2 linked regions of the Notamacropus eugenii genome follow. The protein of the gene in region 2 purifies or fractionates together with the protein of the main gene of each other region. This does not show direct contact. Links are inferred from orthologs where the notes say so. Each region holds a gene or a part of one and is shown on either strand. Other genes may lie near its edges.

Region 1 (7,345 bases), on a different chromosome or scaffold from region 2:
TCACCCTGTTTCCCTCAGTTTCCTCATCTGTAAAATGAACTGGAGAAGGAAATGGCAAACCACTGCAGTGTATTTGCCAAGAAAATCTGAAATGGGGTCATGGAAAGTTGGACACAACTGAAATGACTGAACAACAAGTGTCTGTTTAATGAAATGTCTTCAGTACCCTACTTCATTTTTCACAGCTCAACACTGCCTAAGGGGTGGCCAAATGGGCAAGGATGTGCCAAGGGCCTGAGCAATATCCAAAGTGCTTAGCACAGTTCTTGGCACATGATGTCGTTCAGTTGGTTCCAACTCTTTGTGACCCCATTTTGAGGTTTTCTTGGTAAGAAAACTGAAGTGGTTTGCCATTTCCTCCTCCAGTCCATTTTACAGATGAGGAAACTGAGGCAAATGAAGTGAAGTGACTTGCCCAGGGTCACATAGCTGGGAAGTGACTGAGGCCAGATTTGAACTTATGAAGATGACTCTTCCTGATTCCAAGTCCAGTGCTCTATCCACTGTACCGCCTAGCTGTCGCACTCGACACATAGTAAGCACTTAATAAATGCTTTGAAAAAATTGGAAGGGACCTCAATGTCCATAGAACATCATCATCAACTGCTACTACTACTACTTTATATACCCCCACCACCACTACTACTACTACTTTATATACCCCCCCCCACCACTACTACTACTACTTTATATACCCCCACCACCACTACTACTACTACTTTATATACCCCCACCACCACTACTACTACTACTTTATATACCCCCACCACCACTACTACTACTACTTCACATAGTGCTTAAGGTTTGCTAAGCACCTTACAAATATGATCTCTTTTGATCCTCACAGCAACCCTGGGAGGTAGCTGCTAATATTGTCCTCATTTTATAGATAAGAAACAGAGGCAGACAGGTGAAGTGACACAAACAAATACAAATCCGTTCTGTGAAGTTTGGATTTCGCCAAAGGGCCACCATTGAGGACCTAGACAGTCACATGTGGCCTCAGGCCGAAGGTTCCCCACTTAGCTCTGTGGGGGCAAACAGAACAAGCCTAATCCTTTCTCGAATTTCATATCCCTTCAGATACCTGAACATGGTATCATGTGCTTACTCCCTCTCCCCTACATTATTCTATCTTCCAAGTTCAAAATCCTTAGTTCCTTTAATATGGCTTTTTTTCCCTAAATTCCATTTCATTTTTACTTTGAGCTGAAAACTTTCTCTCTCCTATCTCCCTAAGCACCCCCCTCCCAGGAAGAAAGCAAGAAAAACAAACTCCTTTATATAGTCAAGCAAAACAAATCCTTCCCTGACCACGTCTAAGAATATGTCTCAGTTCGAATCTGGAATCCATTACCTAGGTGTCAGAAGGCGAGCAACATTTTTCTTCATAAATTTGCTGAAATTGTGCCTAAAACCCTTCTTTATATAGTTGGACTCAAGGTCCTTCTGAATCCTGGTTGCCCTCCTTTGGACTCTCTAGCTTGTTGTCCTTCCAAAAAGGTGACTCCCAGAAGTGACCACAATACTTCTGATGTGGTTCACCCAGAGCAACAGAGAGTGAAACAATCACCTCCTTAATCCTGGAAGCTTTGCCTCTCTTAATGATGATTTCTTGGCAGCCACCTTGACTGTTGACTCATATGGAGCTTGCGGTCCAACCCCCAGATCTTTTTCAGCTGAACTGTTGTCTAGCCCCACCCCCACCCCCATCTGGTACTTGCAAAGTTGGCTTTGGGGTTGGGTTTGTGGGGGGGGTGGGGGGGGAACCAAGAGGAAGGTTTTATGTTTATCCATGTTAGATTTATTCAGTTCAGCCCAGAGTTTAATTGGATTCCGATTCAGAGTCTACAGATGTGCAAATTAAAAGACAAGAGGAATTCCATTATTTGACCAAGATCTGCAGAGAGTAAGTGGCAAAGCAGGCTTCAATACAATTCAATTCAATCTGACAAGTTTTAATTAAGCCACCTATGTGTCAGGTACCGTGGTAGGTTCTGGAAATACAAAGCTAAAAACAGAACAGTGTCTGCACTCAAGAAGCTTGGAGAGAGGGGGCATGAAACAAAATATACATGGAAAATGAAATATGAAACATAGGCAAAGTAGTTTCTGGGAGCTCTAGATCTTAAACTCCGGTTCTGATCTAGGAAGATCTTTGCAAATCTCAACTTTGTCATTCAATGTGTTAGCTGTCCCTCCCAGGTTTGTATTTCCATCTTTATCCAAGTCATCGATCAAATGTGAAAAAGTACAGGGCCAGCCTAAAACAGATCCCAGACACACCCTACCTTCAAAAGTTGACAATTTTAGGTTTGAATATGCACTAGTTTGAAATCCACCTAACTGTGCTGGCATCAACTCCACACCTTTCAAATGTTTTATTACGATTTATGTAGCCCATACTGGCTATTGCAGGCATTCCCCTGATGGAATCTAAAATAACAAAGTCTACCTTGGTCCTAACTGCCTGAAGGCCCGGTAGGTTACACCGCACCCCTCCTTCAGGGTTCTCCAATACTCTTAGGCAGTTAGGGAATTATCTACTCTCTACCATGGGCTGAAACCCCTATAAAGTGTGTTTCACAATTTTTAGGGGATTACCTTTTAGAGAGGAATATTGACTTCAAAGATATAACAAAAACCAACATACAAACATTATCTCTGAAACACCTACCTTGGAAGATATAACCCTCTCCGTCTCTGGGAAATGGAAGGGAATGGGAATCCATTAGGTTCACAGCTTAGATCAGTTCCTATGTAGCACCAGTTCCACCAAATTCGGAGTCTGAAGCCCCCTTAGGCTTCAGTCCCTGGCTTCTAATGGCTTCCTGCTTGGGTGGTGGCAACATCCGGCAAAATTCTGGAAGCCTGGCTCCGAAGTCTCCATGACTCAACCTCCTAGGTCCTGGAACTTCGCCGCTTTCTGCACCCAGAACTGAAAAGAACAGATAACCAAAGCCCTGTGCACTTTTCCCGATGCCACAGGGTACCAGGGGAAGGAGAAGGTGACCCTTCCCCTATCCAGCTTAGTACATAGTGCCCATGCTGCGCAAACAAGATCTTCACTCCTGGGCAACACCGGAAAGAAAGAGCGAGAAACGGTCTTTGTCTGGTAGTTTTAAAGACGCAACTATATCCGGCTACACGACCAATGGAAAGAGACTACTCCCACTCACGTGGTAGGAGAACAGCAGAATCCCTTCTCAGAGAAGCAAGCCCGTTGTGTTTCCCATGTGGACACCTCCATCTTGGGTGATGTGGCCCTGTGCCAAGCTCAGTAATACTACTTGAAAAAGGGTAGTCAGGCGGTACCCGTTTTAAAGGAAACTATGCTGGTTCTTTTCCACCACCACTGATTTTTGAGATCTTCAGGAACTGCCCCTTCCATGAACATAATCCAGGTTCTTGCCAGGTGTCAAAATTCAAATTCAGTACACTAGCTTAATGTCCGTAGGATATGAGTTCGCCTTTTTTTTTGTTTTGGGGGTTTATTTTTGGAAAATTGAGGACATTTGCCCTTCTCCAATCCTGCAGCATGTCTCCCATTCTCCACTATCTTTTAGCTATCAACTGGCAAGGGCTAAACCAAAAGAACCTACCCATGTCCTTCATCTTGGACAGGTGACTTGAAATCGTTGAGGGCTGCTAAGTACTTTCTTATTATCCCTTCACTTTTCTTGCATATCAACTCCCTATTTCTCATTTCTATTCTGTCCTTTCCAATCCAAAGATTATTTTCCTTGGCAGAAGCAAAATAATGATTGAGTAGCTCTAAGTTTATTGCCCCATTTATCCTGACCAGGGGGTCCTATAGCTTCTTTGATTCTCCTCTTTTTCACAGTATACCTAAAATCCCTTTTGTTCTCATTCACCTTGACCAATTCTGAGTTTTCACACTCCTGACACTCTTTTTACAGAAGCATGCCCTGATTTTGTATTTATTCTGTTACTTACTCTTGGTTGTATCTGTTGCATGTGTCTTTTAGAAATGTAAGCAGGTTGGTGAGGTCCCTGTGCATCCACATCGATTTTAGTAAACAACTCCATCTATTCTTCTCACTGGAATTTTTTCTCATTGTGTCTTCAGAAATTCATTCTTGAGTTTCCCATCTCTCCCAGAATGAATGATTAGCCCAGTAGAATTATAGTTCATGAGTTCCTTCCTATTCTTTCTCTGAACCTTTTAAAATCTACTTTCTCAGAATCTAGAACCCAAATTTGACCATTCCCAACTTTTCTCTCTTCTCTCACAAATTCTAAGATGTAGTAAACACTGTTCTCCAAGATTCCTGACATTTCATCTCACCAATGAATTCCTCCATTTTGGCAAAATAGACCTAGAATAAAATCTTCCTTCCTCCCTTCTTCTACCTTTTAAATGATCCTGTAAGTCAAATCAAAAGAGTACTAACTGCTCTGTTCCTGAGCAAACTCTTCAGTAGGAGACTGGATAACTGAAATTCCCTGTTACTACTACATTATTCTTTCATAGCTCCATGGTGATCTCTTTGTTGAACTCAGCAATCAATCCATCTAGCATTAAGTGCCCATTCTCTCCCAAGTGCTGTTCTAGGTGCTAGGGACACAAAGAATGAAATCATCCCTAATCTCAATAAGCTATTCTATCAAGGGAGACAAGTCATGCCTTGCTAAGGATGACTCCACTCTGAGGCTGACTGGTGAGTCCCTGACTGGATCAGCTATAGTCCTCCCAATATGCAAACTTTTCAGCTCCCCTTTATAGATTTCCTCCCCTCCCCCATTAGAATGTAAACTTTTTGAGAGTAGGAAGTGGCTCATTTTTTTATTTTTATAACTCCAGCATTTCCCTTCCCTCTTTCCTTTTTCCCTTCCTCCCTCTTTCCCTTCCTTCCTTCCTTCCTTGCTTTCAATAGCTCATGTGAGAATTTGTTTTGCACAACCATACATATTTGTAACAGATTTTGTTTTTATTGTCTTCTTAGTGGGTGGAGGAAGGAGAGGAGGAAGGGAGAGAATGAATAACTGAAAATAAAATTTAAAAAATGAAAAATCATTCACAACACCTTACGTAATAAACAATTGTCCAATTATATTACAAATGTATTTTTCCTCTGAGACAGCAAGCACATGCATGTTTGAAGCATTATAAAAGTTTGTTTCTGCAGTGACTGACAACCATCATAATCATGTGCACAACAATTTTGGTGTTTCCACAGCAATTACATCAACATCAAACTCTGACTACTTTTTTTAATTAGTTAATTTATTTTTAGTTTTCAACATTGACTTCCATAAGTTTTAAATTTTCTCCGCCTCCCTCCCCAACATGGTGTGCAATCTGATATAGGCTCTATAATACATTCCTATTAAGCATTTTTTCACATTAGTCATGTTGCATAGAAGAATTGGAACTAAAGGGAGGAACCGTGAGAAAGAAAAAAATGAAACAAAACGAAACAAAAAAAGAGAGCGAATGGTTTGCTTCGATCTGCATTCAGACTCCATATTTCTTTCTGTGGATGTGGATGGCATTTTCCATCATGAGTCTTTTGGAGTTGTTTTAGTTCCTTGAATTGCTGAGAAGAGCAAAGTCTATCAAAGTCATTGCACAACGTGGCTGTTACTCTGACTGCTTCTAAGTGCAAAGCATTCTTTCCGTTTTTCAACCTGTCATCGAATTGTTTCCAAACCAACATAAGGATTCAAAATTTAAGCCCAAACCAGTTCTCAATGGATGGTCAAACTCCGGTACATATAGCCTCATTTGTGTCCTGTGCACTGCGCCAGAGTGGCTACTTCGTTCCTCTCTGTTACCCTGTAATCACATCTCATCAGCTGGTAATCATACGATCAAGATGTTACAAACCTTTGCTTTTTTGCAGAGCAAATATCAGGCTATTTAAATACCATGATCAATGAATATTCAAATTAAAAGCCATCTTGAAACCATCATGGACCATCACAAATGTTCTGCAAAAACAAACCTTTGATTACCTCTCATTGCAGTATTAAGGCTGTTTTCTGACAAACTTGTCATCCACTTATGTTACGATTCTTCTCTCTGGTGTATTTTCAAATGAACTGTTTGGCAACACTGGTCAGTCGTTTAGTAGAGTTTTGTGAGAATGTAGCTAGTGTGCCAGTGGTAGAAGAGAAGGTCACATCTGAAAAGATTCTTTCTTTTCAAAGGTTAGCTTATATTATTTTGTTTCAAATGTATTTTTTTCTTTGTGACAACAAGCATATGCATGTTTGAAGCATTATAGGTTTGTTTCTGCAGTGACTGATAACCATCATAATCATGTGCACAACAATTTTGGTGTTTGTTCAACAATTCCGACAAACTTCGACTGCTTTTAAGTGCAGTTCTTTCAATTTCTCAACCCGTCATCGAATTGTTTCCAAACGAACACAACGGTTCAACCTGTGAGCACAAATCAATTCCTAGAAGGGAAAATATATATATTGTCAAAAATGAAGCAATATATGCAATTAAACTTTAGGTACATTTATCATTTAGTACAGCGCTTGTCATTAGCCAGTAGGAAAGTGAATGTTTTATTTCATAACGAGTTACTCATTTTCGTTGAGTGATTACCTAGCTAAAATTTTTCGAAAAGAGTTTCTATCTCAGCAAGAGAGCTTATAAAACTCTCCTACCATTTGCTATCAAATATTTGTGTGAGTGAACATTTTCATATCATACTCATTTTAAATCGAAATACAGAAAAATCTTCACTTTAGAACAAAATTTAAGACTATGTTTGATGTTAAGGCAAATGTCGCAAATCTAATTCAAATTAAAAAGTCCATCATCAAATTTAGGTTTATCCATTTATATCATGGAATAGTAAACATCTTCCAAATTGTAACTTATTTAATTAAAAATGTTCATTATACTTAACAAAATTTGCAAATTTTGTTGAACACAACATTAGTTAAACAAAATTTAGTATGAAGTCTCAAAGATAATAAACATTTGAGGTCTTGGGGGATCATGTCTTCTAATTATTATAGAATGTTCCACATAAAATATTTGTAATCATTTTATAATTAGGTTTATAATTTTATATTTGATCTTCATAATTGTACATAGAATAACATTTTATATTTTACAATTATACAAATTTTAATTGAGAGGTTTTGGGGACTAAAAGTTCTTGTAGTTATTGTAAGGACTAAATGAATAAATCTAAAAGAATATTATCACAAGGGTATTCAGCTACCCTATGGATTCATGACAATTTTTTTTCAGAAAGGAGTTCACAGAACAAAAAAGGTAGGAACCATTGTCTTAGAGAGTCACCTGGAACACTAGGTTAAGTGGATTGCCCAGGGTCATGGAGCCAGTAGGGTCAGA
Region 2 (7,834 bases):
ACCATAGAAGTGATCTCCCTTTTAAGCAGTTCAAGTCTCTTTATAAAGAGAATCAAATTCATCTTGAATATAGTCCTGGGGGTTGAGAAAGGCTTAGTTAGAATTTCTGTTGCATAATGCCTATGTGTTCTGAATCCTGCTGCCTGAAGCAGGGTACAGAAACCAAGTCAGGGAAATCAACTAAATCATGTCATTACTGGAGAGTAGAAAGTGCATAGTACTGAATTATTTATCCTGCATTTGGCTCAATCTTTCGCTTTGTTTGATCTACACGAAGACAAATAAATAGACCAATTTAGATCAAATGCCTTCCCTTTCCTGGGTCTCATTTTCCTCATCTCTGAAATTAGGGGTTGAGCTATCAAAGTCCCTTCCAGTGTCATCAATCTTTGATTTAGTGATTTACAAGGAGAAGGCAGTGTATATCTTCTCCCATAAAGCATCTCTGCTAATCTTGACTTTGACTCAGTCTCACAAACTTTCCTAAAGCCCAGTTTTCCATCTCTGAAAACTACATGCAGAGATGTAGATAGATATTATATTACATTAATATGTTAATAGATCTTATATGTATATATGTACATATGCACGTGCGCACACACACACACACACACACACATATATATATGTATGTAGCTTTGATGGGACAGTACAAGAGCAGTGTTATTAATGCCATTGATGATAGTGGGGAAAATTCATCAGTAAATATTATTTTTGTGCAAGGCATCATGCCAAGTGCTTTTGAGTATACAAAGAAATATAAGACACAAGGACTTAAGATCTAGATGGAAAGAGAAAATATATACATGCCTGAAAAGAGATGTAGCATGTAGGAGTTGTACATGGCCAAGAAGTGGCATACTATACTAGAAGGAGCAGAGAGAGTTTGACCTGATGTCTTTGAGAACTGAGATAGAATTATTTATATATACGTATATACATATGTATATACATATTTATGTGTTTATATTATTATATGATATATAATCACATATATTGCATGTGTATGTATATATAAATATATATTTATAAATAATAATTAAGATTTCCTACTTTTGTTTAATGGGCATAATAAATAAGGGATCATTGATGTGGCATTGGGGAGAAATAAGGCACATGTGTATTCTTTGGGGTTGAGTACCAGAGAGTAGAGAGTGGTAGCTAGGTGGTGCAGTGGGTAAAGCACCAGTGCAGGAGTCAGGAGGACCTGAGTTCAAATCTCACCTCATACACTTGACACTCACTAGCTGTGTGGCCTTGGGCAAGTCACTTAACCCCAATTGCCTCATCCTGGCTCATCTCCAGTCATCCTGATGAATATCTAGTCACTGTATTCAGATGGCTCTGGAGGAGAAGTGAGGCTGGTGACCTGCACAGCCCTCACTCACTCAAAACAAAGTCAAGTGCAAGTCATGTCATTATTTCTCTGATGGCATGGTCTTCTTCAGCAACAAAAGATGAATACACTCTCTTCTCACCTTAGTATCTATATCCTGATTTTGCTCCTTTAGAACACCCCACTATTTCTGCCCAGTTCTTATTTCCGATAGAAAGACAAAGGTGGCTGAGCTTTCTGGGCTGGATAGGTAAATGAGTCAAGATTAGTTAGGTTAGGACTCTGCTGAAAGATAGTCATTAGGTATAGGTGACTATCTTGAAAAACTGCTGTGTTAGTGGGAAAATAGAAACTGAAAGCTTAGGAGTGGGAAAGTGAGCACTACAAATTGAGGGTATCCAGGAAAGTTACATGGAGAGATGTTCATCTGGACTAAGCCTTGAAAAATCCGGATTTTGCAGAAAGAAAGAAAAGAAAAAGAAAGAATCTCTTAGTTTAACAAGTAGTTTCTTCTCTGGGTTGAATAAAATAATTAAGGAGGAAAATGTTTAATCATTAAAAATACATGTACCCTGTTTATTCCCTCATCTAACACTTGGCCCCTGTGGAATAGTCATACATTCACCTTCCCCCAACTAATCTCACTGAAAACAAGGAGTTCTCAAAGAGTGGATAACTTACAATAGAGCTCCACCAGGATTCCTTTCTCCACTTTCTTGCTTCCACATGCAGCCATGCACAAATAAGAATGTTCATTCTGGAACCCAACAGGATCCATGGTCAAGGTAGACTTGGTCCCTTCAGTATGTATCTTCCCCCATAGGGGGCTGTCCATCTGGGTTCTCCAAGAGAAAGTAGGGGCTTCACAGCCAGTCACAGTGCAGGTCAGCTTAGCGGAGCCCCCGATCTGAGCAGCGATCTTAAAACTTGGGCCAACCTCAATTTTCAGATCTTCCGCTGAAAAAGAAAAAAAGAAAAGAAAATTTACTACCAGCTTCTGATCTAGTATTCCTCTCACTTTTATACCCTCTGGGATCCTGGGAAAAATGTCATATATCAATTGTCCTGTCCAAATAACTTGAATCTCCCAGCTAGGTGTTCAAAAAGACAATGAAGCGTATTGTCAAGGAAGATGCTGGAATGATCCTCCTTAGTAAAAGATCAGTGACTAAGGCTTAGACTTGCCACTATTTCTAAGGGTCTTTTAGATATTTTCCTCACAAATTTGATTTCCCCACAAATATGGAAAACTAGCAAAGAGATACCATAGAACCAAAATTATTCATTCCACATGGGAAATCATATTCCAAATTACTTTCAAGGCCCTCTCCATGCTAGACCATTGATGCATAGCTAAATTCAACAGCACTTTGAAAACTAAGTTCAACAAAGTTTTCCTCTATCTTTAAAAACCACAGCACCATTTTTAACAGCAATACTAAGGAGTCTGAAATCAACCCAGTAGCTCAGATGGATGCAGGCAGGCAAAAGAAATTAAAGGAGAAAAACTCACAAGCAGCAAATACCATCCAAAGGAGGTTCGTGGCCAGAACAGTTCCCAGCTTTTGTCCACACATTTTGTATGTTGTGATAGAGGAAACAGCGAGTCCAAACTACCCACTCTCCGTGCTACCTGAAGAAACCCAGGGACTGTCCGCTGCTTCCAAAGTGAATGCAGCTGGGTAAGCAATGGAAGAAAGAGTCTGCTCTTTATAAAGGGTCTTGCTGCAGAGGCGGAGGGAAATCCCTTAACGGGGAAACCCAGAGCAGAGCCAAGAAAAAAAAGGCTGACCGAGAGCCAAGTTCCTCAATATTAACCCCTTATACTGCTCTACAGGCTAAATCACAGGCAACTGCACACTCCAACCTTGCTTTTTAGTAGCAAACAGAGGTTCTAAATTCAGGAACTGTTCTGAATTGGGGCACAAAAGACCCCAAGATTGTAGTGTGCTGATTAGCAAAGATATTTTGCAATTCACCACTGCAGGACAATCATATCTTTAGGCTAATAGGGAGAGGAGTTTGGGATCTTTATTTCAGGGAAAAAAAACCCAAATCTTTCTATTGGGTAATGGACTTCTGTGTCATAGATAATTAGATGGATGGATGAATGAATGGATGGATGGATAGATAAAATTTTCATTATGAAAATTAATTGTATTCTACTTTTATGTGCATCACCATAGAAAACTGGATGAATTATTTGCTTTCATATTAATAGAGGCTATAGGAAGGACTACTGAAAATTGAAGCATATGGGGACTGAAAAAAGGTGGGTACCTTTAGTATGGAGGGGTTGTGATCTGCATGGGTGAAGGGGACTCTCCACACCAGTGATATCATGGATTGTAGAAAACAGACTGAAGGTGGATAGGAGTACATCCCAGGTGTCAGTTTTCTTAAGTATCTTTGAAAGAGCTTAAATGACAAAAACCCTGAGTTTAAATCCCATCAACAATATTTGCTTCTTGACCACAGGCTTCCTTTTGCTTCCTCATTCATAAAATGGGGATAATACTTGCACTTCTTCTCTCAGAGGGTTATTTTGAGGATAATACAAGGTGCTTTATACTCAAAAGTGCATCAGAAATGTTGTTATTCTTATCATTGCTGCTGTTGTTGCTGTCTTGGGCCATATCCAGTTGTCTTGATCTGTATCTGGCCACTGGACCCAGATGGCTCTGGAGGAGAAAGTGAGGCTGTTGATTTTGCACAGCCCTCCCTCACTTAAATCCAGTTCACTTGCAAGTCATGGTATCATATTCTGATGTCACAGTCCTCTTCAAGAATGAAGGACAAACCACATACACACACCACCACCACCACAACTACTATCTTAAAAAATGAAAAACCATTCAGTCAACCAGTTGTCTCCATGATATATAAAGATCCAATTAAATCTTTTCTCTGAATTGACTATTTTTTTTCAAATGAATGGAATGGGCTTGATATTGCAAAGAGGTAGCCCCAAACCTGAAAAACTCTCTCTAGGTTCAAATCAGACCAAAAATCCCACGTCTTAAACCCCAAACAGAACTAGAATACAATTTTCTATGAGAAATTATGTTTCTTTGGAAATCCCAAGACCAAAAGAAGAGTTATGTACTTAAAAAAATTTTCACAGTTCACCTCAGAATTCAGGACAGCCAGGCATGTAACTTTTTCCTCTCTTCAGGAAATAAGGATGCATTTCAGGAAATTAGTAGGAATTTAAAACTTTGGGGAATAAAAACCACAGGAAGGAAGGGCTATTCATTTGGTAAAGTCTGTTTTAGCATAGGTTATCTATGACCTTTCTGTCAATGTACGAAATACGTTAGCTAGCACTTGAGTCTATATTTTCCTTGGTGTGGGCAAATCCTCAACTAATGTAGATTGTCACACTTCTGATTCTTAAGACATGGTCTTCATGAGATACTGTGGCCAGAAAAATGAATACCCTAGTGCAGGTGTAGGAAACCTGCAGCCTTGAGGCCACATGTGTCCCTCTAGGTCCTCAAGTGAGGCCCACCCAAAAGGAGGTCCCTGCACTAGTGTTCGACCATCTGTCAATGAGCCTTGGCATCCTCTACTAGGCCAATTCTCGTTTGTTAGACCCAGTCTGTTGCTGGGCCCATATTCAAAATCATTCAAGTTGGTAGGACCTAGTGTTATGGTGTTTTGGAGTGGGAAGGGGCCTTTGAAGTCATGTAATTGAATATCCTTCTTTTAGAAATGAGTAATCTGAAACCTAGAAACATTAAGTGACTTGCCCAGAGTCACATTAGTAACAAGAGTCTGGACTTGAATCCAAGTCTTCTGATACCAAATCCAGTGCCTTTCTTTGTGGGCATAGGTCATGAGATATTAGAGTAAGGCTTCAGTGGAGATAGCTATATTATCTTAATAGTCTTGTGATTTCATGGTATGGTGGAATTCCTGGTGTGAAAACTCCCGTCAGTGACAGGCATCTGCGATGGCAATCAAAATAGGATCTTTTGCTGGTTTTGTTTTAGTATAATCAAGTGCCTCTCATTGAATCTTGCCTTTATCAATCAAGAGTTTTTGCTAAGAGTAAAGTAAAGAAACAGGAATTTCTTTAACTAGAAACAGTACCTGTATTTGTACTGTTAATGTGATTAAAGACCTTTCCCACATATTAATGGGCCTGCCCATTAAGGGGAGTTTGATTAGGGAAGATTTGTAGGAACACTCACAGCTTTTGTTGATAAGGCACTGGTTCTCAGGGGTTGGGATGCCCCTGGCTCTAAAAAAAGATATAAATACTCTGAGGGTGAGGTTTTACTTTGGGGTTTAGTTTTTGCAAGAAGATTTGAGTGCCAGATGAAGACTCTGGGAAGCCACTGAAGGAGCACTCCCAGCTTTGAAAACTCAGGTGTCATGCTTCCCTCTCTGGGAAAGACAGTTGTACCTGTCTGTTGAATTATGGTCAGACAGAGGGAAGCCTTGTCTGTCGATTACTTTGGGGCTTACTGACTGGAAGCATTTGTTTGGTTAGATGAGGACTCTGGGAAGCTGCTAAGGAGCCCTCCTCTCCCCACACCCCCCAAACTCTCCAGCTTTGAGAACCCAGATGTCATGCTTCCCTCTCTGGTAATTATGGTCAGATAGTGGGGGTCCAATTGTCTGTTGAATTCAGGCAGAGGAAGCCATATCTATTGATCTTTAATTTCTCTGTATTTTCTTTGAAGTTTGGAGTGCTGATGCCCCTGAAATAGGTGAATGATATATGTGCATGTATGGTTAAAGGATTGATACATGTGACTGATTAAAGTGATTGCTAACTCCTCAAAAGTTGCCTTTCCTTTTATGAATGCAGATCTAAGAACCTGTAATAGCTGGCCCCCCTGTGTATGTTGGGGTGCTTACTGATACAACATCATAAACTCATCTATAACATATTACAGAGATGCTGAGGGCACTAACAGATTGAATGACTTGCAAAAGATCCCATAGCTAGAAACATGAATGAACCCAAATTCTCTGCCTCCAAGGCAGGCTCTCTAGCCTTAATATTTTCCCGCCTCTAACTGAGAGCTCAAGATAGCTAAAAAAAATAAGAATTTGGGAATGTAGTGTCAAATACAATACTGAATCACGGTGTGAAAAGATTATAGGAAGTGGGTTGCTAAGCATGAGAAAATGAAGTGTTACTTACCTTTTGTTACACAATTTAGAATTTAATCATGTATACTTTCACTGGAGATTCAATTCATGAATTAACATCCAGAGCTTCAATTGACTGAAGATTGCCTTTGTCTCCCCATCCCCACCTCCTTGAATAATCTCCCCTTCTAGCCTGCTACTGTGAAAAACAGCCTGTGGATCGCAACTTTATATGGGTCTACACTATGATGGGCCAAAGAAGCTGATACTCTTAGAGACTTTGCAAAGGAACTTTGGAAATAGTCCCCAGTAGTTCCCAAGTACTCTGATCTGGTAGGACCATACCCAGAGCACAGAGTTCAGTTTTAGGCCTCTACATTTACAACCTGGAGTGAATCCGGAGGAGGAGAATTAGGATGGTGAGGGAACTAGAGACCATGTTGTGCTAAAGTCAGGTCAAAGAAATGAGAATGTTTTATCACAGAAAAGAAATTACTTGGGAGTAGTAAGAGTTGTTTAAAAAAAAAGTATAAGAATTGTTCTGTTATGTCCCAAAAGGCAAAGATTATGCTAGATCCTGCCTACCTTTCCAGGCTGGTTGTGTATTACTCTCTTCATTCATTTTCTGTTCCAGAGAAACTAGCCTTCATTATATTGCCCATACAGGACATTCCATCTCTCATCTCCATTGCTTTGAACAAATTGTTCCTTATGCCTGGAATATACTCCCTCCTTATGTCTACTTTGTGGAATCTCTAGCTTCCTTCAAGACTCAATTCTGGTGCAGCTCATACATAAAACCAATCCTAATTCCCCAGTTAATAGTGTGTCCCTTTGTCTCCAAATTACTTTGCATTTAGTTTGTACTTACATACTAAGCATGTTTCCCTAATTCTTTGAAGGCAAACACTGTATTATTCTTGTCTTTGTACCTCCAGCACCTAACATAGTGTCTGGAATGTAGTAGGTGTTTCATAAATGCTTATTGAAGGAAGGCAGTGAGAGCAAATGGGTAGAAGTTGTAGAAAGATTTAATGTTGGGGGGGGCACTTTCTAATAATTTGAACCATCTCAAAGTGGAATGAGATGCCTTGAGAGGTAGGCAGGCTTCATTAGAAGTCTTCAAGTGGAGGCTGGAAAACCATGTGATAGACATATTGTAGAGGAGGTTCTATCCCAGGAGGAATATGCTCAATTAGATGACTTCTAAGGTACCACCAGCTCTAGGTTGACCTTCTAGTCATTTGTTGTAGTTGTTCAGTTGCTTTTCAGTCATATCTAATTCTGTGACCCCATTAGGGGTTTTTCTTGGCAAAGATGCTGGAGTGGCTTACCATTTCCTTCTCCAGCTCATTCTGCAGATGAAGAAACTGAGGCAAAAAGTTGAGTGAT

The links.
Region 1: the proteins of VCAM1 (region 2) and MSN purify together in Homo sapiens (affinity purification with western blotting; 3 studies listed by BioGRID, with this or other methods). This does not show direct contact. The link is inferred for Notamacropus eugenii from reciprocal best matches to the Homo sapiens genes VCAM1 and MSN.

What each region holds. Positions count from the first base shown.
Region 1 is NC_092879.1:25,989,976-25,997,320, reverse strand, and holds the start of MSN (moesin), read right to left. Parts: upstream 3,097-7,345; 5' UTR 2,678-3,096; intron 1-2,677. UniProt on the Homo sapiens protein: Ezrin-radixin-moesin (ERM) family protein that connects the actin cytoskeleton to the plasma membrane and thereby regulates the structure and function of specific domains of the cell cortex.
Region 2 is NC_092873.1:277,201,176-277,209,009, reverse strand, and holds the start of VCAM1 (vascular cell adhesion protein 1), read right to left. Parts: upstream 3,072-7,834; 5' UTR 2,914-3,071; coding exon 2,850-2,913; intron 2,294-2,849; coding exon 2,018-2,293; intron 1-2,017. UniProt on the Homo sapiens protein: Cell adhesion glycoprotein predominantly expressed on the surface of endothelial cells that plays an important role in immune surveillance and inflammation.